Linked DNA regions of Alligator mississippiensis. The protein of the gene in region 2 purifies or fractionates together with the protein of the main gene of each other region. This does not show direct contact. Links are inferred from orthologs where the notes say so. Each region holds a gene or a part of one and is shown on either strand. Other genes may lie near its edges. The genes, in order: RPP30, NEPRO and RPP25L.

Region 1 (10,161 bases), on a different chromosome or scaffold from region 2:
ACTGGCATAACTTCAAAAATAACAAATAGGTAATAAAAGAAAAAAAATCCCCAACTATGAGATAAAGTATTAATAGGAATAACTTGTTTTAACTGCTGCTGTTAACAAAGTAAACTTAGATTCATGAAAGCTTGCTTTCATATACATCTTATTTAGCTATTCTGTAAAGGTGGGTCTCTATCCTGCCTTCCAAGCATTTTACTGCCGTTATTCTGGATGTCATCCCATTCACAAGTACAGTGGTAGGGCAGGTTTGCCTCGCAAGTCATCGGTATCTCCTTATATTACTGTTACTATACTTTGTAAGTCTTCTTCCCACCCAAGATAAGAACACCTAGCAAACCTCCCCCAATTCAACATGGCATTTTTCAACAGCAAAAGGAGAGGCTTTGAAATTTAAGCTGAACAAAGTTAAGCAAAATCAGTCTTACTGGTATTATGCCAAAACTGAACTAAAGAGCAGGAGTGATTATTTCATGTTTAAACACTTCTTCACCCACTCTACCAGAAGGATTTGCAACAGCATTCTAGCATCTGCTACAGGCTGAGAACTCAAAAGTAAGAGCCTGGGAATAGAATCAAATCATCTTGGCAGCAGCCTATGCCCTTAGTAAAAAATCGCCAGTGCACAGCATATTCTGGTTTACTAAAGTGGTATCGTTAGAGAGCAATGTAATCATAAGATGTCAATCTCAGAAAAATTTAGTGCAATGTTTTCCATGAAAAACATAAAGTTTCTGTAAAATATCAAAAGTTACATTATTTCATTGTGAAAATAAATAAATAGGTTGCAAACTATAAAATTATATAGAGAGTTTTTAATACTTACCAACACATTGCAGTGAGAAGGATCAGAAACTACAAGCGTTAGTCGGGTTACAATTTTAATTGGTTTCAATTTTCCCTGTAAGCAAAATATGTCTAAGTGACTATTGAAAAGGGACACAACAAAGATGTAGCCGATTGATTTTTCATTCCCATTACTGTAAACAGAATGGTACTTTGTTCATTTCTTGCCTATACTCATTTATTTCTCATTTGTAACTAAACCAACATATTTTTACCTTTCTAATTTTAATATTTTGTTTCCATACTCTGTGGTGCTCTTAGAAATTGATGACTTCTTACATTCCTTTGAACTTTATTTCTGTTTTAAACATCACACAGCAGAATAACTGAGCATATTCTGGTACCCAGGTAGGACTGTGCAAAATTTCGGCAGCCGTTTCGTTTCGGAGGTGTTTTGGGCCATTTCAGTGCCCAAAACACCAAATCTGAATCGAAACGGAAGGCTCCAAAATGAACCGGATGGCTCCAATTCCTTTTGGAACGTTTCGGAGTCGGGCTTGCAGGGAAACAAAAACTAAGAAGAGGGAGGGGAAAGAGGTGGGGAAATGACTGCTCTGATATTGATATCTAGCTCCCAATTCAATTCCCCAGCTCTCCGATCGTTTCCCTAGCTATTCTCAGCAGGCACGGGCTCTCGATCTGTGCGTGAGGTTTCAGCAGACTGCCACTGAAGGCTGGGGCAAGCGGCAGCCACTTGGCACACTCTGCGCCAAGCGTCAGGAAAACTGTGGTGTTGCCATTGGCCCCAGCCTTCAGAGGCAGCCTGCTGAAACCCAGCGTGCGGATCTGGGGGCCCACGACCCCCGGGAAGAGCTGGGGGAATGATCAGAGAGCTGGGAATCAAACCGGGGGCTGGGGAATCGCTGCCCCATGACCTGACTCTGCAGGGAGCAGAGATCCACACTGGGGTCTCCTTGCCACCGCTACCCACCCCGCACAGCCCCATGTTGCCGGGGCAGCGCAGATTGAGCAGCAGCAGCAAGGAGACCCCCAGAGCGGATCTCTGTTCCCTGTGGAGCTGAGTCGCGCAGCAGGGACCAGCAGGCTTGCTCGCCGCTCTGCGCTGCTTCCCTGCCCCGTGACCTGGCGTGAGAGGTATCAGATCCGTGCAGGGGTCTCCTCATCTGCTCAGAGGGTAGTGGCCCTCCCCTGTATGAGCCGCCCATGGTCCTGTCCTGCTCTCCACTGGGGCCCCAAGCCCTGCCCGGCTGGGTAGGGCTGTGCGAAGCTTCCCTTGCACAGATTCAGCTGAAACAAAACAGGACTGTGAGCCGAAACACTGAAACGAATCACTGTCCTCCGAAATGGTATCAAAATGCAGCCATTTTGTACAGCCCTATATCCTGTTGCCACAGGTCAGAATGATCACTGTACTACAGATAAGAGTTGTTTTTGTTTTTTTAATTAAAGTACTCTATGGATTTAAAAGAATGTTTGATAATTTAACTTGGGAAATCATCCCTAAAACTCAAGCTCTTAAAATGTCAACTATAGAAACGTTTAACTAGAAGTAGCTTCCAAGTTCAGCCTGAGCACAATGTTTGTTCCCATATCATATAAACTGTATGATGAAGAACATATTAGAATGTACTGTACGTTAGACTGTATTGGTTTTCTGTTGCTGCAGAGTTATTTTAGTAAATCAGACAATCAATCTCTCCAACTCAGGCCTGATATGAGAACTGTATACACAAACACACTAGAATACAAATATATTCCATAGACCATTATACGCAGATGGCATTTAAACTGACATACCGGTATTATAGGCAAAGACGGAAGCAGTTCTGAAGGAGAGATTGGTTTAGGAATTTCCTGAAAATGAAAAGCAAAACAAAAGTAAGTGTTTAAAAACTTAATGGGCCAACTTCTCAATATAAATAAAAGCTGCATACATTTTTCTAAACAGGAACCTGCCCTTCAAACAAATGAAACTAGAACTTTATGGACAGCTCATGCAGTGTACTGAATTTATGGGAAGTAAAATTTAAGTCCAAGCAAAAGGACTAGTAGAAAGATGGAGTTCTAAACTGGACCTTTGTAATGAATAAAAAGTTTTGTATATACATGTAGATGAGTACTCTAAAAGAGGAGACAATTTGAGGACAAGTAATTATGAAGTATGTTAAGTGGAAAAATAAAAAAAGAATAAATACCAAAACAAACTTTTACCTGTTTCTTTTCTTTAAAATCAATGACATGGTTAATTGCAACAGTTGAGTATCCCACTAGAAAATATAAACACATTATAAAATCTGAATCAAATTGCAAAATATTAACAATTTAATAGAAAGAAATCAAAGTAGAAACATTTTAAGATTCACATACATTTAGCATTTTGATTGTACAAGGATGATTGGGACATATTCTCATTTCTGGAAACAAAAATTAAAAAAAAAAAAAAATTACAGGGCATGAACACCCCATGTCAGCCAGTGAGGCAAGTGCTACTGCAATAACATGACCTACCCCATTTTCTCGTTACCTAGCTTAGTGGTTCTCAACCTTTTCGATACCAGGACACATTTGTAAACATCAATGGCCAGTCCCGACCCAGTGTCCCTCGCTCCCAACCTGCTGCCCCCAGGACCCAGCCCTCCCAGTGTGTGGGGCAGGGGGGTGGGTGTGAGGGGCATAGGGGGGACCTCACAGGCTGGAACTCTGCCAGCCTGCAAGGGAAAATTGTCATAGTTTTCCCACATTTTTCTCCTTTAAAGAAGAATCCATTTTTCAAGTTTGATGGCGACCTTTTCATCTCTTCTTGTGACCCACTTTTGGGTCACAACTCACGGGCTGAGAAATGCTGACCTAGCTGTTTTGGGCACATCATAGAGTACCACGTTAGTGGCAACTACATGATGCTTTTTCAGCCTGTAGTACATATGGAGTGGGAGAGGCGTAGTCTCATGGCAGCACTCTACTACGTCCAATGCAGCGCTAACATGTCCACGATGCCTCAAAATGAAACATTCTACTTGCTGCCAAATACAAGTAGAACTAAAGCTTAAGCTCAGGCCTCTAAGACTCATTCAGAAACCAAACCTGGAAAACGCATAGTCCCATATAAGTCAGATCACTCAAACTTTCTGGAATCCTTGCATAAGAACAAACGCCTGTGAGATTCTCATATATGGGACTCAAACAAAACAACTTTTGAGACTTTCTCCCCCCATGAATACAAGTGATGTAGCTGGGGACACGATGCCACTCAAACCACCCAACTGTGCCTATAATGACCTGGGTGGCCCTGCACTTAGACAGAATCCTCCTTGCTTCCCATAACTTCCATTTCCGTGTACTGGCTTCTCCCAAATGCAGAAGTTCATTTAAAAATTAAAATAAAAGTAAACCCTAGTCAAGACTGAGGACTGCTCTGGGGCAAGCAGAGGGCTTCAGAGCAGGTCTCACCTCCCATCTGCTTCCAGCAGAAACGTGGAGTGGCTTTTGCTGTCCCCCTGCTACTGCTTTTAAGGACACATATTGGACACCCTGCACAAGCCTCGGTCCTGCTCCGTTTCCTGCCTCGCCTGCAATTGCCTGGCCCTTCTGAATACAACAGCCACGTATGTATCTGCCACGCTACCTGCCAGCACTGCAAAGCCCAATGCTCAGCCAGAAAGGACCTCAGTGCTCCAGGCCCATCCTAGCAAATTCATAAAATCATAGAAAATGAGGCTGGCGGGGACCTCAGAGGTCCCATCTAGTCCAACTCCCTGCTCAAAACAGGCCCATCCCCAACTAGATCATCCCCCCCCCCGGGACTGGCCTGGCTCAGCCCTTCTGGGGGCAGCAGCAGGGCCCCGCCCCGCGCGGCACAGCCCGATCCGAGCGGGGACACTGAAAGGCGCCGCCTGGAGCCCTGGTGGCCGCGGACGCCCTGTCTACACCACGGCCGCGCTCTTACGGGCGGGGGGGAGGGGTCTGCCCCGGGCGAGCAGGAGGCGGAGCCCCCAGGGCCGGGCCGCTACTCACGCCGCGCCGCCGCCTCCAGCACGGCCCGCAGCGCCTTCCTGTCCGCCAGCGCCAGCAAGTTGAGCTCCGCGAACCCCGCCATGCCGCGAGGCCGGCCACACCGCGCATGCGCCCTGGAGCCCCGAGGCATGCTGGGATTTGTAGTTTCTGGTCTCTGGGGAGGGGGGCGGGGACTTGCGCGCTGCCTGGACTCGCCCTTCGCCCCGGGGGCCTGGGGCGGCCGCTGGACGTGCTGACGTCACGAGTCGGGGCCCACCCCTGTTCCGTGCTGGGGCCGGGGTCCTGGGCGGAGCTTCGTGCTCGGGGCCGGTGCAGCGACCACGGTCTGTCTGCAAGGCCGTGCCATGAGCTTGGCCGAGAGCGCTTCTAATCAGAACAGGGCTGCCTGCACAGGGGCGATGTGGTGTAGCTGCAGTAGTGCTCCCAGCGCATCATAGAAAATAAAATGTGGGTCGGAAGGGACCTCAGGAGGTCACTTCTAGTCCAACCCCAAAGCAGCACCATCCACAGCTAGATCATCCCAGCCAGGGCTTTGTCTAGCCGGGTCTTACAAACCTCCAAGGATGGAGAGTCCACAACCTCTCTAGTAACTCATTCCAGTGCTTCATCACCCTCCTTGTGAGAGCTTTTCCCTATATCTCACTGAAACTTCCCTTGCTGAAGCTTGAGACTGTTGTTCCTTGTTATGTCGTCTGTCACCACTGAGAACAGTCCAGCTCCGTTCTCTATAACCACACTTCAGGTAGTTGAAGGCTGCTATTAAATCCCCTCTCAGTCTCCTCTTTTGTAGACTAAATAACCCCAGTTCCCTCAGCCTGTCCTCAGAAGCCACGTGCCCCCGTCCCCAAACTATTTGCATTGCTCTCCGCTAGACATTGACATCATTGGATCAGAACTGTGTTGGCAATGGCAGGGAATGGCTGTAAAACGTCTCATGAAGGTAACACGTAGGGAGACCACCTTTTCAAAAGGAGAAGGCAGGACACATGCCTACCTTCCTCCTCCTCTGCCCCCCACTGCTGCAGGACCAGAGCCAAGCAGAGCAGAACAGAGTGGGGGGTGGATGTGGGCTGCCCACTGTGGGCTCGGGACTCCCCACCCTGCTGCCTTTCCCTCGGGAGCCCCGTGCCAGCCACATGCCCATTGCCTGCCTGGCAACAGCAAGGGGCACAACTCCACACTGCCGCCATCCCTGCTGCTGCCAGGCAGACAGAAGGCACTTGTCATGGTGGTGCAGCCAGCGGGAGCCCCCAGAGGCAGGACAGCAGGGCAGGGAGCCACAAGCACATAGCAGGCAGTCCACATTCATCCTTGCCCCACGCACAAATCTGGGGAGCACATGCCCTACCACCTTGCCCCTGGAAGAGCTGCCCACAGCTCCATCCTGTTCCCCACCCTGGCACTATGCATTGCCATGACTGGGCAGTGCCCCGAGCCCCTGCCCCACTCCCTCCCTCACCATGGGGACCTCAGTCTGCCTACCCCCCCCCCCGCATCCCTTCCCACACATAAACTTACCTGCTGGGAGCTGCTCTCCAGGCTGCCTGGCTGTGTTCCTGGCCACATGCAGGTGTGCACATGCACATGACATGGCACCCCTGCATCCCACTCCTGGCAGCCTCTTACAGGTGGAATGCTGCCAGCCTGCAAGGGGAAACCTGCCATTTCCTGTGGATCCCTGCATGAGACTTAACAACCAGGAAAAATGATGTCCTGGAGTCATGCAGCCTGGGACCCAGACTTGAGGTTCCCATTGTGGGACTGTCCACCCAATTAAGGATGGATGGATGATCACCCTAGCAACACAGCACCTAGGAGCTGCCCTGTAGGAATCAGGCTCCATGTGTCTTGAAGCCAACTACATTGAAGTTATGATTACTTTGTACTGTATTAAATCATACTCTGTACGTAGGAGGCAAGTGCAGTAATGCAAAGGAGCCACATATGGAGATGAGGATTCCTTTCTCTATATTTGTGAGTTTGAGATTCTGCCTTCTAAATGATACAAAGAGAGAAGAAAATTTCAAGGGCAATCTGAGAGGTGAATCCCAAGACTTTCTGGAATCCCCTTTATGATGAGATGATTCTTAGCTCTCTTAAATTTGTACATAAATGCCTTAGGTGCTAATAGGAGGGTGGAATTCTTTCACAGGCAAAACTGATATAGAATCAGTGGCTGAGGTATTTGGTTGCTGGAGAGAACAACATTATATCCACTAGATGGAGTAGCAATATCATATTATTATCTTATATTACTCCATTGAAATATTACTAGATTGTTTGAGACAGCAACTCAGCATCGACAGTGACAAGAAGAGAGAGGATATTAGATTTAAGGCTCATTTGCTGACATGTTTTAGCCAAAATAACATCTCATAGTTTTTCCATACTCAGTCAAGGCAAAAAGGATATTTTTTAAAACTGAAAGGGATTTTTTCCCCCAACACATCTGGGGGTTATAGTGAAACCCAGACCGACTATGAGTCAACAATATGATGCTGTTGCAAAAACTACAAATCTCATTCTGGGATGTAGAGACAAGAGAGTTGTACATAAGACACAGGAGACAATTATTCCACTCAACTTTTCTTTTTCTCAGGGTCTGCTATGATGACAATGACTTACAGAAGAAGTGGAAAATGGCAAGGATTCCCTTTGTCTTCCTTTAGGAGAGCATGCCAAGACCTAGGGCTAGGGGATAGAGAGATCTTTCTTCCCTGCTACCTCAAGTTTATAGCCAGGTTTAAGATAGAAGGAAGCCCTTGTGGTATCTAGGTGCAAAGTTCAGTAATGAGTTCAGCAGGAGTCAAAGGCTGAACAGTTTCTTAACCTAATGTAGACAGGTTTCTTGAGGTGCTCACCAGCTCTTTGAAGAATGCCTTCTTCCAATAAGGCCTCTTAATTGAGTATTTTCCAAACTTTTCCCCTTCATGACTCCACATACATTCAGATAATTTCATTCAACACAATTACCACTGTTAGTGGACCCCTCTTCAGCTGGTCCATGATAACTATCCCTTGTGCCCACTATTATATTACCATGACAGCTAAGTCAGACAGGTTACTCCTGAATGAAATGGAAATACATTGACTCAGCTTCTCTCTCATTTACTGTGAGAGGAGTGGACATACAAATAGCTTTCCTGAACAATTGCGGTATTTCCATCTCCTGTTAATTCCTGCCTTCTCTTAATTGTGGTCACATAGGGTAGTTGTGGGTTTGTGGGGAACTAGGAGCCCTGTGCAGATTGTAACTCCACTTAGGGTCATTATTCCTAGACTGGGAAATGGTTTTAAGTTTTTCCTTGGTTCAGGTTAAGCCAGCTGTCCTTCTTTCAGACTCCAATCTCCTTTTTACTAAAATAAAAATCTGTTTACACTGGATGAAAAATAAACAATTGTGAACTGCTGAAACATTTCTGGGTTTTGCAGAGTGTGTCAGTTTACAGCATTCTGCATATTAGATGAGAGCAACAATGACAGGTCTTCGGGAGGGGAAGAACCTGCTCAATACACTTGTCTCAGAGCACAACGAATAGCCAGCTTATGGCTATAACATGTGCTGAATCAACAGTGGTTTGTCCACAATTGTATCAAAACTACTGACAGATCAGGAAGTATCAACAGAGGAATTTAACTTCAATGTATTGCCATAAGATGCCTGCCCATCAGTTCAGCCACTCGTTCAGATCTTGAGCTTTTCAGGAATTTCCCTTGGTATAGTTGAACACAGAAGAGCTGTAGGCTATTTCAGGTTTTCTTGGGTCAAGATTTACAGCTGAATTTGGTTCAGTTTCTCTTCATGAATTTATTAAGAACTTAAAAATATTTATTCATTATGTTTGCACAGTGTAATGCAGTAATGCTCAGAGACTGCAGTCAGGAACAGGCCTCTAATGAACTAGATACTGTACAATGCAGAATAAGGGACAGTATTTGACTTGAGCCACTTATACTGCAAAGCCTTGATCAGCTAAACTGGTGCTCATGAGTACAACCCAGACCAAAATAGAATCCCCATTGGTGTTAATGGGATCCTGCACTGGTATACTTGTCCACAAAAATGGAACAGCTTGCATAATTAGAGATGTAGACTATGATGGGAGAACCATGGCCTTTCATGGAGCCTCATTTCCTGGGCTATTTATTTACTCCCCCTCCCCTCAACATTCACTTTTGACTGGGGAGAGCCCAGTGACCTACTTGAAACCTGTGTGTGTGTGTTTCAGTACTGTTAGACACAGACCTCTAACGTGTCTTGCTTCTACCCTTGCAGTCCCTAAGCCCCTCCTGTGGAACCCACATATCCCCTCAGCTAGTTACTCTTCTGGTCCCGAATACTGAACAGTTAGGTCCCAGGCTCCGTTTTCTCCATGAAGAGCCATTGGGTGCTCACATCCAACCACTGTCTGCCAACAACTCTACTTTCAAAGGCCAGCTCTTGGAAGCTACTGAGAGATTTGTCTATCACAGCGCCACATTTATCCCTTTCATGGAACATATCTGATCAGGCACTACTATCTTAGTAATTCTATAACAGAAATTTCCTAATTACTTTCACCAACATTGTTCTTTTTTTCTTTTTATGCTGCAGGATGAATTTTGAGTGGTGGCAAAATCAGTTTGAGTGACAGCAGGTTTACCACCTTCACTGTTTGTCTTACTTTCAGATGAGAGTTGTAGGTTACCTGCTTTTGTCAGTATTTGTTGGCATAGAAAAAGGGAAAACGTAATTTCACATTTATTTAAGTTGCATAGATACTGGCAATTATTCTGACAATGAAACAAAATGCTAAAGAAATGAATGTTTACTGTTCTGTTTACTGCCATAAAGTGGTGATGATTTATTTTCACAAAGCCAAGAAAAGACAGTAAAGAAAATTGCAGCTGCAACATCTATGCTGCAAGTCAAACAAGAGTGTTATTTACTAAACATTACACACTGGGAATAGAAATCAAGGTTTGAATAATATTTAGCCTCAGAAACTTACTTGGGATGTGATAAAATATGTTAAATATTTTGACAATATGTTCTTCACAGGCAGGAGAGACATTTACCTACATCTTATTTATTATTCCCAGTATGTTACCGCCCAGAGTAGCAGTAACTTACTAGACTTTTATCAGCATCCAAGGAAAGGAAATGCTGATTGTCAAAAGAAGAAAAAGTAGAAAAAACAGAGTGAAAAAAGTAAACAGAGTGGATCAGATATGGAAGGAAACTAAAAAATGGAAGCAAGGAAAAAACAAGCCAACTTTTCCATTAGTATATTTTTTTTCTCTTTATTTTGTGGTACATCCCTGGCCCCCATCCAACATTTAATATAGGAACCAGGGGTG
Region 2 (10,672 bases):
CACCATCTTGACTCCAAAGAGAGACTTACCTTGTCCTCTGATTGTTGTGTCTTTTGAACATCTGAAAGGGAAACAAGTGAAAGAACATAAGTCTGTAGGGATTGTGAACGGCTTGCTCTTTTTTGTTATAAGATAAAGCCTTCACTAACCCTACTTGGTGGAGTGGCAGAACCATTAACATGTCTTGCTATAGTGCTGGAGGTGAAAGTTCAAGCCCTGCTCTGGTCTTCTGCCACAGACTGCCCCAGTTGATTCAGCTGTAAATGGGCACCTGGTCATTCAGGCTGAGAAGCCAGAAGTGGCCAGATATCATGCTGGCCATTTCATGCCCTTATATGACACTGACTACAGTAACTGGTGTGCCTTAACCACAGCAGCCCAGTGGACTGTTAGGCTTGCATGGGCCCTTGACACTGACCCAAATTTCCCTTTCCAGTATATCATGCAAGTTTGGTTTCTTGCCATTGGGAGAAGTCCTCAGACAGTTTTAACCTCCATTTTCTTGGGGGGGGGGGGGGGGGGGGAAGGGCAGGGAAGGGAATTGGATGAGAATCCAGGATCATTAGAAAACAGTGCAAGGTATGGTTTCCCTTTGATGTTCTCTGCCTCTGGATGCTTCTCAAGTAGAAATAAGAGAAAGGAGCTTCCTTTCTTTCTCTCTCAACACCCACTGCTCCCATGCAGACTACAGATACAACAGGCCTAAGTATAGTTCAGTCAGACTATATCAATGTCACAACCCAAAGCTGTGATTTGTTGTTTGTGTGCGCTTCGGCAACGCTAAATTACATTCCCGCTAAAATTGCAGCTTCTTTGCGCGCTGGAGTTTTCTGCTGCAGAGGAGAACCCTGCCATTCGTATTATACTTTGAGCCCCATTATTGGCTAGTTCTAAATTATGTACACGTGGCAGCAAGTGATTGGCTTGCTAGCCATATAAAAAGCTTCAATGGTTTCCGCCCAAGTTGGAGGACTCTACGAACATCAGGAGGAGGAGACTTCACCCTGTGTGAAGATCTCTAAGCGCTGCGGATCCTTACGGACCCAATGCATTTCTTAAGAAGGCAACAGAGGTCTGATCAGCCTCTAGCCTCTCCCTGTCGCCGATAGATTCCTAGACGTATCCCTTCCTATATACCCAATTTTCGAACCCACTCTTAACAGCTCTGGGGGACCTGGGAACCGAACCGAACCCACGGAGCTTCAGCAACTTCGTGAGGAAAGAACTGCCGAACCCACGGAGCCTAAACCACTCCGGGGCCAAAGAACCGAGTTCGTCAGAGTCCTCCAACGAGGACTCAAGCGGAGCTGCACCTGGAAAGCTGTCCAGCCTACACTGCGACCATCTTGGGTGTAAGTAAATAATCTTTTAAATCAACCACTATGCGTTCGTGACTAATTCTAGCTCGCCACCGGTTTTCTCCGACCCCGCGTGCCCGGGCTGCTGGCCACAGCCCGCGTGCGCAAAGACGGGCCATGGATCGCCCCCCCCAACTCGCACTTGGCGGCGGGATCGGGGCCCGGCCCGCACAATCAAGACTTGCTCTTTGGAAAATGGACACTTGTCTTTTGGCCACCTTTCATCCTAGCGTGGGGGAGCCACAACCCATATAGAGATTTCACAGAAAAGGCATGAGGAAAATCAACTTGCTCCAAACATTGCAGAATAAACACATGCAGAAAGTGACTAGTTATTTTTGTCAAGCATTAGTCCCTTTCCCTTCAGTGGCAATGGCATCATCCATGCATCAGTGTGCACAGGAGGCTGGACTAAGTGACTTAAAAGACCCATTCTAATCCTATGCATATATTATTACTTCTGAAGTCTAGCATTAGAAAGTAAAGAGACTGCAAAACGCAGAACAATTATGCCATCCATGGTGTCCCCTCATCCCCCTGCATAGCTTCAGATTAGGACTCACAAGTGACAGAGTGGGAGGACAAGGAGGAAGGGAATGTTCATCTGAGGATGAAGTGAGACATTCTTCATAAACCCCTTATACAAGCCATTTGTTTAGGTAACACCCCTCTAACAAAGTGATTCAATGTGTTACTATTAGAAAAGTTGATTTCTTCTATGGTAGGGCCTGGTTTAAGTTGTGGGCCCAGCTCGCTAATATCATGGCCCAATCGTGACAGGGGCCACCATACTCATGCTCAGATTGAGCCACTTCTCCCCCACACCATGCCTCTTGATTGGCAGAGGGGGCAGGTTTAATTGCAGCAGGAGATGCCTAGTTCCAAAATCCTCTGATCACTGCTGAAAAGCCCACGCCCCTCTTCCCTCCTCCCCACCCCAACTTCCCTGGAAGAGGCAGTAATTAAGACAGCCCTGGCACCAGGTAAGGGAGTCTGTTTGTTCCTCCGGGCAGGAAAACTGGGGTGCAAGGGGTTGGGGGTGCCAAAGGGCTGCCTTAGTATATGGCCCTGGCACGGGACAAAAAAAAAAAAAAGCCACCTGGAAGAGCAAATGCCATCCCCAAGTTCTCTCCTTCCTGTCCCTTTTAGAGACAGAAGTTACACATAAACCAGCTTAAGCAACCAGAAACTGGTTTAAACCTGTAACAGTTGCCCTGCTGCTAAACTTACTAAAACCTACTGCTGGCTGTGACTGTGGACTACAAGTCCCAAAGGCACCTAGAAGCAAGAAGAAAAAGTAACAAGCAACCATGCAGAGTCCTGTTGCTGTGATTCTGGACTGCAAATCCCAGAGACCTCAAGAGCAGCAGGAAGAGGAAGCGAACACCCATCCCATGCTGGCTATGTGCCAGAGAGGCGTGCTCCAGTGTACTTAACCTGTTTTGTGACACCTTCCCTCCTCCCCTAGGCTGCTAAGCTTTTGCTGCTGGCTGGGGAATTCTTGCCATCATTGCAACAAAATGCCATAATATAGCTGCTTGTTGGGGAACTCCCCAGCAAACAGGCATATTGTGGCATTTTTATTGCAAGTCACATTTTTTCGTGAAAAAAAGAAATCACTTAATTTTGTGATTTTCACAAAAAAGTGTGAAATCACAATTTGAACTAGGCCCTATCCCACAGTATTTTTTTATCCAAAGACTTCAGAAATACTTTGCAGAGAGCAATAATATTATTATAATTCACCACCACACTAAAAAAAAAAAAATTCTCATTATTACAGACAAGGGAAAAACAGCAGATGCAGCAAAAGAACTGAGAAACTGACTCCAAAGCCAACGCTCTAACCTTTGAGAAACACTGCTGCCAAGATTCCCCCCAATTAATACCCCTTCTTTCCCATTTCCCTATGGGCACCCTAGTGGGTAGGGAAAATAGAGCCCTTCACATTAGTTGCAGATTCACTGGGTTTGGAGACAACCCAAGAAATTCCAAGAGTCAGCCTGCTATTTGCAGAGAAAAATCAAGGGTTTTACTATGGAAAACAGTTCAAAGACAAAACAAACAAACAAAAAAACCCCCAACCTCCCCCACCCCCCAAAAAACCCCAAACAAAAACCAAAACCAAGCAGCAACATATTTTTGGTTATGATGGATAAAATGTTACTAGCTGATTATTTTTTTTAAGTGCAGAATAGAAACAAGAGCCCCATCAATTATCATCCTTGCCCTTACCAGATTTAGAGCACAGCAAGAAGGAAACATTGCCATTGGAATGGATGAGGATGCTTCCAGGGCCTTTTATAACTACAGTAGGAGACCATGGATGAAGCCCTTGAGCCAACTGCTTCATTTTACAGCAGCACTGAAAGCAAATGGCCCAAGCTTGCTCCTCACTTATAGGCTGTTTATAACATCTCAGGAGCTCTTCCAGAGAGACCTTAGTAACACTCCAATCACATCTCCTGTCCTCCATTTCACATGTATCACTTATTTTCTATGCACTTGCTTGTTTGTTTACCACTTGAGATGTTTTTCACCAACTCTACAGGAAGCAGCATCTTCTCCCAACAACCTTTTATGCAGTCTCCCTTTTCTTTCCTTCAGCTGTGACCATTCAGGGCAAATACCTCCTTAAAGGGACACCCTCAATTTCACCATCTGATCTGTACTTATGAATAAAGGCAGAGGGGTGGGAAAAGGGTTCTAGGAAGATTAGAAGCCCAAGTTAAAACTCATGCCTGATATTAACATCACTGACTTCATCAAGTTTATACACAGAATGTGAGTCAGATTAAACTGGGAGCATACAAGCTACTACCAAAGTAGAAGAGGCAATGTAGGATATAATTCAATTTCTGATACAGGTACCCAGTGGGAGGAAGATACCAGGAAAAATGTTGCTGAAAGACTCTGAAAAGTGAGTGGAGTGCAAGTGTGATGTGCTTACAGCAGCCTGTGCTGCGAAGCAGACCTGTAGTGCTGTTGTAGGGTCCAGGGAACATAGAAGAAGCAAGATGTGTTTGGTAGTGCTCTTGTAGTGGACCAATTCTATAGCTGGGAGAAATCCTAGACAAGTTTTTGGGCACACAAGACCCCTCTTCAGGTGTGAGAAAAACATCTTGGGAGCAGATGCCTTCTGTACAATCGTTGGGGAGTTCTGAATACTCCTCACCACTTTTTGCTGTGTTGGGTCAGCCACTACCTGCCTCCTCACAGATACTCTGATCCCAGAAGCAGTTCAGTCTAAATCTGCAATGATATGCATGAGAGAAGCGGATTGTGAGGGACAGCTTCAAGGGGACTGAGGTGCACAGGCCAGTGATCACACCCAATGCTAATAAAGTGACCCTTGGAAAGAACAATGGTCACCAGTCATGGCTCAGTTTCCTTGCCGCCTACTCAACTGGCCAAGAGATTGATTTCTCAGAGACATGGGCACGAAAACAGAAATCCAAACCTAAACTGTATAAAACTCGTCCACACGCACAGGCACAGGGCTGGGAGTCAGTAAGTTGCATCAAGCGGATTGAGGGGCCTGTGTCCTCGCCATGCAGCAGTGAGTCGGCCTGCGTATTCTCTGCTGCACACGGCTGCTTTGGAAACGTTGCCTGATTGCTAATCACCTCAGAAACGGGGGTACCGTTCAGAGGAACTCGCTTTGGCTTTTCTTGTGTTTCTCCAGATGAAATAAAAGCCCCCAGTCACCCTGGCTGCAACATGAGCTGCCACCTCTTGGCCCCATCTACCTCCAGGTACAAAGAACTGTCAGGCCTCCCACTAGAGGTGGCCAGTACCTGCCCTGCTTTGGTGGCCAGGAGGGAGCCTGGTTCATTTGATGCCACCTGCAAGGCTGAGGCGGGTTCCCTGGCTGGCGGGGTGCGTGCTTGGGGCAGGGGGCACCCTGAACAGCAGAGCTCCTGGCGGCTGCCTTACAGCGAAGGCTGCAGGGCAGGTCAGCACAGCCTGGCGGACCTCATGCAATGCCACAGGATGTAGCAGCTGATCTACCCCAGGCTAGGGCTGCCTTGAAGTAGCTGCTCATGTGTCTGGGGCCCCTGCACCCTTCCTTGGTGGGGCCCAGGCCGAGGGGCAACCGCAGACCCTGCCCTTGCCCACACTGGGCTCGCGGGGGCTTCGCACCTCCCACTGCCCGGCTATAGCAAGCCCTGCACACGCACCCCGTTCCCGAGATTCTTGGTACAGCCCGCAGGGTTCCTCCCCCGCCCCCCCAGCTCTGTTTTGGTTCCGCCCACTCATGCTTCTGGCCTCGTCGCCCCGCCCCTTTCCCCGCCCTTAGCAAATATGGCGGGGCCGGAGCTGGGGGAGGCAGTGTGGAATCGGGTAAATGTGCCGTGGCCTGCCACTAGCGCTACGGTGGCTCTGCCGGAACAGCACCCCTCAGGTAGCGAAGGGGGCTGTGTGGGGTAGGCGCGGGCGAGAGGCGGGCGCTCGGGGCACGCGGTTTCAGCTGGCTTAGCCACCGGACTCGTGACGTCACAGGCGCGCCTCTGCGTCCTGGGGTCGTGACGTCGCGCGCGCCTCTGCGTCCTGGGACTGGAAAAGCGTGTGCTGGGGCTGTGGTGTCGCGTGTGTGCGTGCATGGTAGTCAGTAGGGGGTGTTGTAGGGTACACATAGGGTGGCTAACCGTCCAGGGGTGCCCCGGAGTCCAGGAATTCAATCTAAATCTGGAGGGGACTGCTTGGAGTCACCAGGGAGATAAAATATATCGCCTTCATCAAAATAAATATGAAACATTGAATCCAATTTAGACAGTAGGCCACTGGTTCCTATAATGTAGCAGTAATGTGCATTTGCCTTCCTAACATAAAGTCTGCACACCGTCAAATGTACCAGATACGTGAGCACGTGGGCACGTTCGTGCCGTGTGGCACGGGCATGTTGGCGGTCTGGAAACCTCCCAGGATAAATTGTTCGAACGTTGGTAACCCTACAGGCACATTAGGATGTGTATGATGTACATCTTTAATGTTTATTTCCTGCTAGTGGGGTGGGAGGAGTAAGTATGTAGATTTTCCCCCTCCCCCCCCCCAAAAAAAGACTGCAAATTTTTATTGAAAAGCCATAAGCGGTTGCCCCCTCTTTCCCCAAACCCACCCACCCCTTTGTGGTTATTGTTGTATTGCTGCTCCTTTGGAGCATCCAGAGCCCAGACCCGCTGCCCTTCCTCTCTTACTTCCTTGCTCTGTCCCGCTGCATCACGCTGGTTCCCGTCTCCCAGCTAAGGGGTGTGTAGGCAGCAAAAGGCAGGAAGCGGAAAATGGCTTTTAAAAATTCCTTCTGGATTTTAAGCTGTTTCATGTGAGGGGAGATGGCAGATTGGGGTTGCAGGCTTTACTTTAGGGGATGCGTTTCTTTGGTCATTTGATTTTGGGGTGTGGACTGTTACATGATTGTGCTGTCTTAAACCATTTATTTCATGTGGAACTGCAAAACAGTAATGTGTCTCCTCCCCCCCACTCCTCTTTTCTCTCCCTCTCACCCTTACTCCCTCCACCCCTGCAGTGAGATGCCTTCCAGCAGTTAGTAAAGAGTGCTCTGCCACTCTCACATGGCTGAACAACAAAGCTGTGGATGCTGAAGGAAGAGTCCTGCATGCGATCCTTTATGTCTGCCACAGCAAAATGTCTCACCATAAAACCTACCTGGCTCTGAAACAGGTCAGCAGGGAAAATCATACCGATTCATATTATTTTGCAGTAATAGTTGATGGAATGAGCTTTCTAATAATTTTTTCTTACAACCATGTTCTGAAGAAAAAAATTGAGATCTGGGTTTTGGTAAAGTTTCATAACATTGTTCACATCCATTTTATTCTAAATGAATCTCATTCAATTAGGTTTTATTGATCCTAGATAGAGAATTTGGCTGCTGGTGAGAGATTTTACCACTCCATTTCAATGGGAACAATACAAGACACTTTCTGCTTAAGTTAAAAACCTAAATAAATACAGTAAAAGTTCTGTTATCCAGCATCCCTTGGGAACGGAGGATGCTGGATAACAAAATATGCCGGTTAATTGAGCAGCCCCGGCCACCGCTTCTCGCGCCGTGTCTGGGGTGTCCCCTCCGCCCCTCCCATGGCGGGCCCCGCGGGACAGGGTGGCGAGTCCTGCACAGCCTGTTATGCCCACGGGCTGTGGGGGCTTGGCAGCACAGGCTGCTTTGCCCTGAGCAATGGGGGCTCAGAGAAACCAGAAGTGCCACGGTGAGCACTTCTGGTTTCACTTTATCTTACAAGCCGACATACCAGTTAGTGGAGCATGCCAGCTTGTAAGATGTCAGATAACATAACTTTTACTGTAGTTCATTTTATTCGCAACTTTCAAGAAGTTCAATATAAAACATTAGATAGGACAGAACTTGTATTTCTGTTGAGAGAAGGGGGAATAATTCAAAGGTTGCCTTAAACACTGTTTCTACTAACTTGAATGTTTTTCAAAGGTGGTCTCAAAGCAACTTTCAAATGTAACAGAACATGGAATGTTTAATAACATTTTGTGGTATGGGTATGAAATACGCTGCCTGTTGCACTAACAAAACAGAGGTTGGAATCTAGATTTTCTGTTCTGATTCTTATGATTGGTTTCTCCTGAAGCTTGTTTTGCAAACTTAATTTAAGTAGCCACAATTGCAAGATGCTGCCTGGAATGTGTAGGATCAGTTGATAGTCTTTGCCTGAGTCCTATAAAGTCCACGTTCACAATAATGTCATCTAGAGATCCTCCTTGCCCTTGTGTAGATATTTGTGTGCGCCAATGGGTTTGGCACCAGGTGTGGCAGGCCTACACATCAACAATGGACAATACTGACTAATAAAGACCTATTGATTGAGAAACAAAAAAGTATTGACCAAAAGACTTGTTGGTTTTTTAGGTAGAACAAAGCTTGAAGCGTTTGAATAGGATGAACTTAGTGGGATACGTTCAAGACCTGGCAGAACTGTGTTCCAAGTAAGTGTCATTACCTCCTGTTAGACTGAATGCTACTTTTAGCCATGAAGAACTTCATGCTAAGTGTAACCACCACCCCCTCACTACAGGAAAAATAAATCTGAAAATCCTGGAGAGCATCTAGTTCCCAGCCAGCCTGTGATGGAAGTAGTAGCAGTGAAGGTCTTGGGAGGCTGTAAGTTGTTGCTGCGTCTACTGGACTGTTGTTGCAAAGCATTCCTGTATCCTTCTTAACAAACCTGGGAGCCTGGAAGTGAAAATTCTTACCAGAAAGCCAAATATGATCTGCTGCAGGCTTCTCATTGCTGATAGCATTTGATAAACGGACAAATGTTGTTTAGTTAAAAAGCCTTTGGTTACAGGCAATTGTTTTCAGATCAGCAGGTACGGACTTTGGGCTGCTGGCGAACTGCTGTTATAGCTCTAAGTAACCCCGAGTTTGAACAGTCCTTTCCTGAGTAATTGCCAGGCATAGATGGGTTTCTGAACTGCCTTGTAGGAAAGTCTCTGCTCAGTGAATTACACTGCACACTGTTTTTATTGGTTTTTTTTCTCACCTTAACAAGCTTTATTTTCAGCTTGACCATTAAACACCTATGTTTGGAAGAATTCATACTCTTGAATACTGTGGTCTCAGGATTGTTGAGCAGATTATGGTTTGTATACATTTGAAAAGATATATATTTTTACTTTTTTTAATTTTTTTTTTTTTTGTTCATCATCTGCCTGCTTTGCCCTAGTTACTTTAATCAGTACATAGTATGACACAGGCCTCGGTGCCTGTTGTCACCAAGAAATGGCAGGTGTTGAGCTAATGAATCAAGGCTTCTTCCCTCCCCTGACTTGAATGGCTCACCCTACCTGAAATCGGACAGGCTTTTACGGGATTCTCAGGAATAGGTGCTAGTGTAGATGGGGGAAGGGTTCATACTTGATGATGAAAAGATTTCTATGGCACTTATAATACCACCATGATGTTCAACTGCTGGGTTTTTCCAGTAAGTGATTTTTAACTGTCTTGTGTGGAGAATATAGTTGGTAGAATGGAGCTGTTCCTTACTAGCCCTGATTCTTCCAGTGAATCATTTTACGAAGAAATGACAAAAAGATTCAAACATAGGCTGAAAATGCTAGCATTGTTAATTAAAATATAGAGTTACTCGTGTGATATGGCATCAATGTGTATGCTAACCACTCTGTTCAGAACAGGATAGCTTTTCTTCAGGTGGCATTGAACAGAAAAGTGTATATAATGTTAAAAAGGCAGATGAACAGGCCCACTTGTACTGAATTGGAGGAGAAATGGTTTGTGGGGAAGAATTTTAATTAAAGAGCCTTGGCTTGATGTCACCTGGGAGTTTGCTCATTCCTAAAGCTTGTGAAGATCCATGAGGTGCATTATATGGGGGAAGAAGTCTCTGTAATGCAGGCTGTGGATGGTGTGTTCACAGGGTTGAATCAGTCCCAGTCTATATCCTGCATCTTCTGAAGCTCTCAGACACCTCCATCAAGTGAAGAACTAGCATTGAAAAGGGAGGTCAGGCTACTAGTCAGGAAGTACAAATGTGGGGTGCAGCAAAGGACAGGTGGCCTGAGAGCATAAAACCAGAGCCCAGAAATGCATGTGTGTTGGGGGGAAAAACATGGGAGGGGAAACCTTTGAGAACAAGGAGCAGGTACCAAATGTGAGAGTGCTTGTTTAGTGAATACTGTGGACTCCACTTATGCCTCCTAGGTAAGTGCATTATTTGTTTAGCTGCATAATGCTTCAGACCCAACTTGTTGCCTGTTGTTTATATTTGCGTAAATCACTTATGAGCATAGTACCTTTAGCCCTCCTGTCTACTTAATTGAATTCGTATTAGGTGCATAGTAATGCATGTCTGCTAGCTAACTGCTCTCCATTTAAGGGTGCCAGAAATAGTGTTAAGAGGAAGTGGGTGTCAAAAAGGCTATTAGCTTTGAAAATGAGAGTTAGCTGGTGTTGGGGTTACCGATGCCAAGGCACTGACAGTACCGGGCACATAATAAGCACTGATTGTTTACTTTCAGCCTGGATATGTTCATGTGCTGGGGTAGTACACAGCCTCTTTTGCTCCCTCAGCTTTGCATTTAATGGGGCATTTTTATATGGGCTAGACCAGCTAGTGTCTGTAGGCAGTTCATGCCCCTGTGTTTTCTGTCTGTCTCCTCAGGATTCTTTATAGATGCGTGTTACAGAGGCTTACGTCTTTATATGGGGCGTTGTCTGGGTTGCTGCAGAAGGTGTCCGAGACCCAACAGATGCCCTATGTTAAAGGGTTTACCTTCCCCTCTGAGATTGCTGAGTTTTTGGGAGT
Region 3 (10,361 bases), on a different chromosome or scaffold from region 2:
AGCCTCCATTCCTGTCCTATGGGACCTTGTGGGAGAATTGCGCATATGGTTAAAGAGCAGTGGTGCTCAGACTGGCCCCTTGGCTCACTGGTCCGTTCTAAGATCATCCTAGCCCCTCAGGTCGGCCCCCCCCTGTGTTTTCCTTAAGAGCCACCATCAGACTGTGCTCCTGTCGAAGCAGTTTGTCCAGTGGGACGAAATACTGACCCAGTTGGAAATGGCCAAGCAGGTGAAGCCTGTGGCAGAGTGACAGCAGCAAGAAACACAGCCTGCGGCCATGGGCAACACCAGACACATGGGTCTCATGGGAGAGAAGGGCAGCGGGACCTGCCAGCCAGCATCCAGCACACAGGATTCCCGTCTTTGGATCAGAGCACTGCACAGCAGGGCCTGCACTTTCTTGTTCAGTAGGAACACGCTGCAGGTAGGCGCCCAGTGGCTGCGGCCAGCTCCGTCCTCCCCTGCTCCCTCCTGTGAAGCCAAGTGTCTGGTGCCTCTAAAAATCCAACCGTCTGCGCTTTTTATTTGCACTTCTCCAAGTGGTTTTGACTCTTGATTTGTAACTTATTTAAGCTCCTGCCCTGCTTGGCCCCATATTCGGGCTGGCGGACCTGACTATAACAACCTCTCAGCTATTGCTGATCCCTGGACCTTAATAAAACCCGAAGACACTAATGGCACTGGGTCTCGTTCAGTGTTTCCTGCCATCAGTTGCAGCTGGGGCTGTGCCTGTGGGCCAGCAGCATGCAAGTGCTTGGACTTGTATATACCTGTGGGTCCCCAAACTCTGAAAGCCACCTTCCTGGCACAGCCTGGAGGTCAGCAGAGCTAGGCTGGCTGTGAGCTTCCTCCCAACAGTGCTAAGAGGTGTGATTTGATGCTGGGAGCAAGAGTAGTTAGCAGTCAGCCTGCCCTAGCTAGCTCCCTGGCACAGTGAGGAGGAGGAGTGTTAGCTGAGCTGCTCTGATTGGCTGAAGTGTGTGCCTTTTTGGGACTGCAGCCAATTGCCGTGCTTTGTCAGTGGAGGGGCCTGTGCTCTGACACCCTGTAGCAGCAGGATTATGACCCGACCCCCCCAGCATATCTAATAAAGCGGGTACTTCTGACACTGCTTTACTGCTGTTTCACGCTGTGGGTTTCTAGCTCCTAGTCGAGGCAGTGCTGCTTCCCTTCCCTGCTTTGTGGTTTGAAGCAAGGAGGAAGGGGACTCTGCCAGCTGACTGGTGCTACCAGCTGTCCTTCAGACAAGAGGCTTTGAGAAGAGGAAAGGAGCACAGCCAGCTGGTGCGGGGCCTACCACAGGCTCACAGGCCTCGTACTCTTCAGGCCCTCGGAGCTTTTCCTTTGGGGGTAGGAGAGCTGGAGGCTTTCCAAGAAATGCACTGAGAAGATTGTCTGGCAGCCAAAACAAGGAGCAGAAAGGGGTCAGGAGTAGGGCTGTACGAAATTTCATCACCAGTTTTGTTTCGACCTGTTTCGAGGTCAAAACAGCAAAACTGAAACGAAACAGATATGGCCGAAACAAAACGAGATGCGTCAAAACGTTTCAACGCTGTTTCAACGTTTCGCCCGTGGGCTATAATGGGGAAGGTCAAAACAGCCTATAACTTTGTCATTTCTGGCCAGATTTGGATAAAACTTGCAGAAATGGTAGCCCCTTCTGAGGGCATAAAGCGTGGCAAGTTTCAGGAAGATAGGTGGAGGGGGTTTGGAGAAACTGCACCCCAAAATCCTGAAAGCGAAACTCATGTCGTGTATGTGTTGATCCGCAGTAGGGTCAAACCTGCAGGCATGCTAGCCCCTGCTGAGGCCACAAAGCCTGCTAAGTTTCAAGGAGATAAGTACAGGGGTTTGAGGGAAACTGCACCTCAAGCTGTGGACAAGCAGAACTCATGACATGGGTGACCCTGTGTGTGCTAAGGCACAGCAGGGTGGAAGCTGCAGGGACGGTAGCCCCTGCTGCGGCCATGATGCCTGCCAGCTGTCTAGATCGGTGCAGGGGTTCTGGGGCCCCTGCACCCCTAGCTGCTGACAGGCAAATCTCATGACATGGGTGCTTGTGCAACCGCTGCCTCTCATCAGGCAGGAGGACCAAAGATCCCCCATCACTTGCCACCACAGACCTGGGGTTAATAATTGACCACAGTATGAACATGAGCCAGCAGTGCGATGCTGTAGGCAGCAGGGCCAACAATACACTGGCATGCATCAATTGATGCATCTTCAGCAAAACCATTGCAAAGAAGTGATTCTCATGCTCTGCTCGGCTCTTCTCAGCACTGGTGAGACCTCAGCTGGAGTGCTGTGTCCAGTTCTGGGCTCTGCACCTTAGCAAGGACGTGGTAAAGCTTGAGAGAGTCCAGAGGAGGGCTACCCATATGATCAGAGACTTTCATGGTAAGCCATACAAGGAAAGGCTGAGGGACCTAGGACTCTTCAGCCTGAAGAAGAGAAGGCTGAGAGGGGACCTGGTAGCAGCTTACCACTACACTAGGGGAGTACATCTAGGGCTCAGTGAACAAGTGTTCACCAGGGCACGTACATCTAGGGCTCGGTGAACTGTTCACCAGGGCATCCTTGGTGAAAACCAGGAGTAACGGTTACAGTGTGGACACCCTAGTTGTGAAGTCGTTTTTCCTAACATTGAGCCTGAAACAATCTTCCAGGAGTTTGGGACCATTCCTATCCTACGGGTGAAACATTGAAACGGCAAAACGTTTTGACGGAACAAAATGGAACAGCTGTTTCGACTCGAAACACAAGTCGAAACAAAATGCTGTTCTGTCGAAACAACGCTTCTGTTTCGCACAGCCCTAGTCAGGAGCTCTGGCTTCTGATACCGGCCTCACCAAACCTCTTCCTGCCTCTGCACCTCTCAGGAGGCATGGAGGTATGTGTCCTCTTGTTGGAGCCATGGCTGCTGCAGTGCCCAGCAGCCCTCCCTGAAAGTTGCTGCTGGACAGTGCTAGCACCTGCGGCAGCTCTGCCTCCCATCTCTGAGAGAACTTGCAGCACGTCCTGCAGGCAGGCAGCCTGGACCCTTCACACCTGGCAGCAGAAGCAGGTTCTGCAGCCAGGGCCCAGCGTGGAGCTCCTGCTGTTTGGATGTGGTGAGTTCCCCCTGACAGGGACAGCAGCAGCTCGAGGGGCTCTGAGCCGCATAGGGCCCTGCAGGTCAGACTAACAGCTTAGGATCCACCTGGAAATTGGGTGGCATCCAGTGCAGCTCATGGAGTGGGAGCATCACGTGCCACTTGCAGAGCTACAGCCCACCTACCTGCCCTCAGGTCCACGGGCTGACCCTGGGTGGGGGTCAGAACTCTCCATCCTGCTGATGTGCTGAAGGGAAGGAAATGGGCTTCGCGCAGCTTTCCCGCTGCTCCTGCCAGCATCGCCATGCCCTCGTGTGCCCCCAGCTCCAGCCAGCTTGCTCCCTAGGCACCGAGCCAGGCATCCCACAGCAATGGTCGGATCCGAGGAGGCAGCAGCAGCTGCAAACCTCCCCCACCAGTAGTACTGGCCTCGAGTCCTCCGCTGGGCGTGTGGGATGTTTGTTTCTGGCTTTTCAGCTATTCAAGAAAAGAACCATGGCTGCCTGTCTCCCCAGAGTTACAGCACAAACACACGCTTTTCCTTCTTTGTTCGTTACTTTTGTAACTTTCTCATCCCAAATTGTCCAATCCTTGGGTCCCATACCGTATCTTTTTAAATAAGGTACTCCAATCCTACTCGGTTTTTGGTTTCGTTTTCTTTTAGGGAAACTTGTACCTGGTTTCGCTGACTGTACCAATCGCAGCACTCACTGTTTCCAGTGCCTTATATAAGGCACTTTGTACAATTGCATTGCTTAGTTCTGGGAGGGCCTCGACCGTGGCTAATAGCCATAGCATAACTCAGTTTGCCTGCTACGCTGCTGTGCTGCCGTCTGAGCCTGGTGTGATGACCAAAGCAGGTGCTCTGCAGCTTTAGCTTTAGCTACAAGTTCTGCTCTAGGCTCTAGTGGAAGGCTGCCCCAGCTGCCCTGGTTTGGTATGTGGGCATCTGGGTTGAGGACCAGCAGCAACAGTCCTACTGGCTAGGACCAGTTGGCCTTAGGCTGGCCTCATGGGCTACCAAGGCCTGGTCAACATGTGACTCAGCCCAGCTTTAGGGAATCCACTTGTCCCTGCAGACTGGAATATGCTGGTCCCAACAGAGTTAAATGTGTCAGGACTTAACGAGTGGCAGCAGAGAGACCGGATCTTTGTGCGGTCAGGGGGCCTGCCCGTAGCTGTCTCTGCTTCTAGCATGCCGACGGGCTGGAGGGGGCTGGTGTGGGGTTGTGTCATGTCTGGTGAGATCCCCCTCCTTGGTGCGTGCAGGGAGCGTGTTTTCCCTGGCGTGTGCAGCACCCTGCTCGGGGGCTGGGAGGCATGTCGGGGGGGGCCCAGGCTGCTGTTACCCCACAGCCATGCAGAGCTGCCTGCAGCTGGAGCGATTCCAGGGGGCTGGGCCGTGGGCACACACGAGCTCCTCTGCAAGGGCAGCATCAAACCGCTGCACAGTCAGCCCCAGGAGCCGGCTCTACACTGATCCTCCCAGCTCAGATCTGGTGCCTGTCACCTGGACGCCTCTTCCTATTGGACTGGCTCCTCTGTGGGCTTGAAGTCTCTTCTCCCTGGTAGCCAGGCCCTGGGTGGGGCACAGACCCCAGGGCCTGGCCCTTTTCCCCTCCAGCCTGCACTTGCAGAGCCTGTGAACTGAGCGGCAGCACTTCCAACGCACGGTGCCTCCAGCCGGCCCCACGACCACCCACGAGAGGGAGCTGCAGGCCTGGCAGAGAACAGACGTCCCCTCGTGCACCCGTGCGAGGCAGTCCCCAGCTGATGGTGCTGCTGCAGCGGGGCTCTGGAAGAGCCTGTGCCCGGCTGTAAGGGCCCTGCTTGGCCTCGAAGAGCCCTCGCATTTCTGTCGCTGCAGGAAAGCTACCGCTGGAATCTGTTTCTGCGGTGCCAGCGCTGCGGAAATGCCCGAGACACGGCCCCGGGGGAGCAGAGCGGAGATGGGAACGGCTTATTCCAGCATTGGCAGCGCAGGTCAGGCTAACAGCCTGGGACCCAGCTGGAAACCAGGTGGCATCCAGCGCAGCTCACGGAAGAGGAGCATCCCCTGCCACTTGCAGAGACACCTGCCGCAGCCGCCGGCCCTCGGCGGGAGCTGTGGGGCAAAGAGGAGGGAGAGCCGGGCACCCGCGTGGGGGCATCCTCCTTGCAGGTAAAGCCTTTGCTGCCCCTGCGCCCGGAGTCGCCCATGGTTCGTCAGGATGAAGGCCGGGGGCTGTTGCTGAGTTGGTTGAGTGCTAGAGCCGCGGGGCTGCAGGAGGCCTGCAGAGCAGGGGTCACGTCCAGCCCAGCCCGGGCCACCCCCCTGGCTGACTAGTCACCCTGACAGCCCCGGGCGTCGCACCCGAGCCCACCACGGGCAGCAGGGGCCGCGGCAGCCAACGTCCCGCTGCAAAGGGGGCCAGAGGTGCTCAGTGGACCCAGGCAGGACTGTGCCCCTGCTGCAGAGGGAGGCAAAAGCCCCCCATTTCGGACCAGTGTGAGCAGAGGGAAATCCCTGCCTGCCCCAGTGCAGCAGCAGAGGGCCTGGTGGGGGCACGGGACCGCCTGGCCCCTTCCCCGCGCCGGGCGGCCCATGGCAGGCGCACGACCTGCGCCATCCTCAGCCCCCGCTGTGCGCGCGGGGGACGCCCGCTAGGGGGAGCCGCTGCTCCGCGCCGGAGGCGCCGCTTGCGTCACAGGAGTAGGGGCGGGGGCGGGTCGCTCTTCGCGCATGCGCCCTCGCGGCCCGCCTTCGCGCACGCGCATGCTGTTCGGCGGGCTCGCCACGGGCCGAGTGCGCATGCGTGTTCGCCCCTCACCGGAAGTGGTCGCCGTGTTGCGGCGGGGAGGCCTGGCGGCGGCAGTGGTGAGAGCGGGCTCTGAGCACGCTTCCCGGGGCCCCGCGGCTGTCTCCGCGGCTGTCACCCGGGGGGGGGGCGGGTACGGGCGGCGCCATTGCCCCGCCGGGGGGTGGTGGCGGGAGGTTCCATTCATGCCCCGGGCCCCGCGGATGTCCTGCGGGGGTCCGGGAGGTTCCACTCATTCCCGGGGCGGTTCCATTGATCCGGGGGGGGGGGGGGGGTCGAGCGGTTCCACTGTTCGTTGGGGGGGGTCCCTCGGACGGTTCCATTAATCCGGGAGGGGGGTGGGGCTCGAGCGGTTCCATTGATTCATGGGGGCTCTTCAGGCGGTCCCATGGATCCGTGGGGGGGGGGGGATCTTGGGCGGTTCCATTGTTCAGGGGGTCCCTCCGGCCGTTCCATTGATGGGGGGGTCCTCGGGCGGTTCCATCGGTCGGGGCCCCTGGCGCTGGTGACTCCCGCCCCAGGCGCCTGCTCCCTGGCCAGTGCATGGCCGTGCTCTGCTGTGGGGGTTGCCCCCTCCCCCCTTCCTGCTACGTGGGAGGGGGTTAAGCCCCTGTGGGAGGCTTGCTGGCTGCAGTCGGGGCCGGGCTGTGCCCATGCTCCTGCGGGGCCCTGGCTGGAGGGTCTCGCCCCACGCTGCGCTGGGCTCGGGATCAATCCCCCCGTGCTCCGACTGCGTGTGATAGCGGCGGGACGCGCGGTGCCGGGTCCCCTGCTTTACGCGTGGCGGGTTCGGCCGTCCGGTTTAGCTGGCGGGTTTGCGCGGGGCCGAGCCTGCCTCGGGCGGGGGTTGGACTGGACCTGACATCTGCTCCCTTCCCCCCCCCCCCCCCCCCCCCCCCCCCCGCTGCTTTAGGATTTCTATAAATTGCGATAATATTTTTCCATAATGGGGGGAAAAAGTGAATGGGAGCGGAGATCTGGCATCTTCCAGGGGGGCCTTGAGTCTCTCTCGAGTCTGCGGAGGCTGAGAACCGCTGATCTGTAATTGGCAGGGTCCTAGGGAAGCTGAGCTGAGAGGCACCTCATGGGGTCCCATCAAGTCCGGCCCCTGCTAACCCCCCCCGGCACAGGTCTGTGCACCCTGCTCTTGAACACGTCGGAGGATGGGGAGCTCACAGCATCTGTTAGTCTGTCCCAGGGCCTGACCCCCCCGAGTCTGCAAGTTCCTCCTCGTCTCCAGCCTCAGTTTCCCCAGCAGCCGCTTGAGCCCGTTGCTCCTAGCCCTGCCCCCACGGAGAAGAGCCCACCTCCATCCTCCCTGTCATCGCCTTTCAGGGATTTGCAAACTGATCAAACCCCCCTCCAGCCTTCTCTTCTCCAGGCTAAATGCCCCCAGCTCTTTCAGCCTGTCCTCGCCAGCCTCGCCGCCCAGGCCCCGTCGTTTCTGTCACTCTCCCTGGACTCCGTCCAAACTGTCCCCGTCCTCCTCCAAGTGCGGAGCCCTAGGCTGGACACGGGGCCCCAAGGGAGGCCTCCCCGGTGCTGAACGGAGCAGAAGAATCGCCGGCCTTGATTTGCATGTTTGTACAGCTCAGGAGACAGCTTATTTTGCAGCGAGAGCGCACTGTTGGCTCCTATTCAGCTTATGGCCCACTCATTCCCAGGTCCCTCTCTGCAGCGCTGCAGCCCGGCCCCTCGCTCCCCCGTCTGTATTTGTGCGCGCCGGTTTTCCATCCCAAGTGCAGGACTTGGCACTTGTCCTTGCTGAATCTCGTCCGTTTGATTTCAGACCATTTCTCCAGCTGTTGGACGTATGCGTAAGGCTCGGGAGGTTTACAGTCCAAACAAAATAGGCTACAATGGGCAAATAAACCTAGCAGCGCTGGTTCTCTTCAGCTTCTGGCTCTCCTGTTGCATCTCCCACGGGCGACTGCTTGGGCTAAATGCAGGAGAATGATTGGCTCCAAATGTATCTGCAGCGCGTTATCTAATACCTCAGCATGTTTTAATTAAAGCATGTCTATTACTGCTTTGCATGACCATCTTCTCTCAGAATCCCTGGCCCTGAGCTTTGACAGCATCCAATTAAGTTATGACTGTAATTAAATTCTCCAGTCTGATTAGTTAAACACCTGTACAGCAGATTTTAAAAAGGGAGTTATGTGAAGCGGAGGCATTTGGGATGTCTGGGATTACTCTTCGCTTGCATGCCATATGGTTGTAAGTGCTGGAAACTGTCTGATGGCTCTCGGGCGAATGGCTGAAAGGCAGGGACTGTTTTCCTTCGTTTGTAGAGCATGTGGTAGCACTTTAGGCAACACAATATAAATACCTGATTTATGGATTAAAGCACCGTTGCCATTCCTGACTTCGGGTAGGTATTTCAACCATGTCCAGAGTCGGAGCATGTTGTGCTAAGCAGTGATTCCCCGCAGGCTGCTTGGCACGAGGCTAGGAACGAACAGACGAATCCCTCTAAGACAGCCTCATGAATCATGATTAAGAGATAATCACCAATTTGTGCTTTCCTTTGCAGTGTTGGAAGCAATGGAGAACTATAAAAAGAGCAAGATTGTGGAGAAGCCCTGTCCTCTGCCTTTCTCCAACCTGCCCTCAGACATTATCGAGATGAAGGTGAAGGACGGCAGCAAGATCAGAAACCTGATGGGCTATGCCATCGGCAAGATGGAGGCGGACGCTGTCAGGCAGATCCTTTTCACTGGCTCGGGCAAAGCTGTCGGCAAGACCATCACCTGCGTGGAAATCATGAAGCGGAGGCTCAAGGAACTCCACCAGGTCACCAAAGTGCTCTTCAGACAGATTGAAGAGATTTGGGAGCCCATCGTGCCCGAGGCGGGCCTCGACACCTTGACAGTGAAGAGGAACATCCCTGCCATATGCATCTTGCTGAGCAAAGATGCGCTCGATCCCCAAGAGCCTGGTTATCAGGCTCCAGGCTCTTTCGAGGCCTTCTGGATTGAGACGCTCGCGGCAGAATCCCAGGGCCAAATGAAGAGGAAGCAGGGGGCGGGCAGGGGGACCGGCAGCACAGGAAAGCACCCCAGATCTGTTGGCGAGCGTGGGGAGTCCTGCAAAAAGCCCTGAAGCAAAGACGTTCACAGAAGCAACCGACGGGATGAGAAAACACACTGGCTCCTCGAACACTAACACTCAGCACGTGATGCCAAGGTCATTGATGCAACAGGGCTGGAACGTAGGTCAGCTGAGGGAGGGAAGGAAATGGGGTGTGAAAAGCAATCCGGTCAAGCTGTTGTGAATACAGACTCCTCTCAAAGCTAGTCTGACATTCGCTTGGAAGATTTAGGATGCAGTGCCCAGTACTAGTGCACCCTCCGTCCTTGCTGGAGGTGGATGGTGGCAGGTGCTGTGTGTTTGCACTCCGAGCTGTGATTTAGGTGGTATTTTCAGCTGCCCCCAGTCAGCGATTGCAGTGCAGTTTTATCGGGTGGGACCAACCAGCAGCCTTTGCAGCTGTGAGGTCCCTCTTCAGGGTGTGTTGTGTTCATCCTTTGGAGACAGGCAAGTGCTCTGAACGGAGGACTGGGGTCTCTCTCGGTTCTGCCAGCGATGCCCTGTGACCTTGGACTGCTCCCCTCTCCTCCGTGACTCGGTTTCCTCATCTGTGCAATGGGGATGTTTACGTGCGTTTCGCGGGGAGTCGAGGGCTGGTTCGTGCAGAGGTTATCTCAGTATTACACTGCTTTTTGTAACTGCTAATGGCAAACTCCAAAGCCAAAAGCTGGTTTCCTTTACTGCTGTTTTACCTTCACTATTGAACAAAAAGTTGCCTCTTTATTTAACATTAAAAAAATCTTTAGTTGGTTTTTCTTTCCACTGGAGACTTAATAACGTTTGGAGGTTGGGACTAGGGACACTGGACTGAAGCCTAAGCACTGAGCTGTTCCTGAGATGAATGTGAGAGTTTTTCTTTTCGTCAAGAAACTTCTCAGTGGGGCCCAGAGCACGCGCGTTTCAGTCTCCTTCCCCAGCATTTCACCTCAAACACCGAAAGGTTTTCTGACCTGTTTTGTCCGGAGTGAGGACAGCCCAGCTTTGTGTGCAGCGAAGCGGGGGTTTTTTGTTCATTTAGATTTATTTAAGGTGTTCTTGCAGCAGTTCTGAAGGCAGGCAGGACTGTTTCGGGACCCGCCAAAAGCACCTTCTTCCCAGGAAAACTGCCAGGGCAACTGGACAAACACATAAATCAGTACTGGGAAGACGTGAACTGCATGAGATCCCTTTGTGAGGACGTGAAGGTTTTCCAGGCCCCGTAGCAGCCATTGTGTTCCTCTGTTAGCCCCCTCCCAGCTTGCCTGAGGCGTCATGATAGCAACACTTTTTATCGCTGCAGCTCAACGGTACAGAAAGTGAAGATTTATGCAATAATCAGTCCCTTCTGTGGGGTGGCTCTCACCTCTCCTAACACAAGCGCTCCATTCAGGTATCAACA

The links.
Region 1: the proteins of NEPRO (region 2) and RPP30 purify together in Homo sapiens (affinity purification with mass spectrometry; 3 studies listed by BioGRID and IntAct, counting the BioPlex papers as one, with this or other methods). This does not show direct contact. The link is inferred for Alligator mississippiensis from reciprocal best matches to the Homo sapiens genes RMP64 and RPP30.
Region 3: the proteins of NEPRO (region 2) and RPP25L purify together in Homo sapiens (affinity purification with mass spectrometry; 3 studies listed by BioGRID and IntAct, with this or other methods). This does not show direct contact. The link is inferred for Alligator mississippiensis from reciprocal best matches to the Homo sapiens genes RMP64 and RPP25L.

Annotation. Positions count from the first base shown.
Region 1 is NC_081829.1:68,289,800-68,299,960, reverse strand, and holds the start of RPP30 (ribonuclease P protein subunit p30), read right to left. Parts: upstream 4,938-10,161; 5' UTR 4,904-4,937; coding exon 4,822-4,903; intron 3,078-4,821; coding exon 3,022-3,077; intron 2,665-3,021; coding exon 2,608-2,664; intron 905-2,607; coding exon 830-904; intron 1-829. UniProt on the Homo sapiens protein: Component of ribonuclease P, a ribonucleoprotein complex that generates mature tRNA molecules by cleaving their 5'-ends. Also a component of the MRP ribonuclease complex, which cleaves pre-rRNA sequences.
Region 2 is NC_081824.1:247,525,602-247,536,273, reverse strand, and holds the start of NEPRO (nucleolus and neural progenitor protein), read left to right. Parts: upstream 1-5,644; 5' UTR 5,645-5,663; coding exon 5,664-5,763; intron 5,764-6,885; coding exon 6,886-7,040; intron 7,041-8,256; coding exon 8,257-8,333; intron 8,334-8,422; coding exon 8,423-8,554; intron 8,555-8,911; coding exon 8,912-8,989; intron 8,990-10,528; coding exon 10,529-10,672. Other genes in the region: protein spire homolog 1, read right to left, coding at 30-61, 3,594-3,834. UniProt on the Homo sapiens protein: May play a role in cortex development as part of the Notch signaling pathway. Downstream of Notch may repress the expression of proneural genes and inhibit neuronal differentiation thereby maintaining neural progenitors.
Region 3 is NC_081826.1:299,906,730-299,917,090, reverse strand, and holds the start of RPP25L (ribonuclease P protein subunit p25-like protein), read left to right. Parts: upstream 1-5,859; 5' UTR 5,860-5,949; intron 5,950-8,426; 5' UTR 8,427-8,437; coding exon 8,438-8,995; 3' UTR 8,996-10,361. Other genes in the region: DCTN3 (dynactin subunit 3), read left to right, coding at 161-250. UniProt on the Homo sapiens protein: May be a component of ribonuclease P or MRP.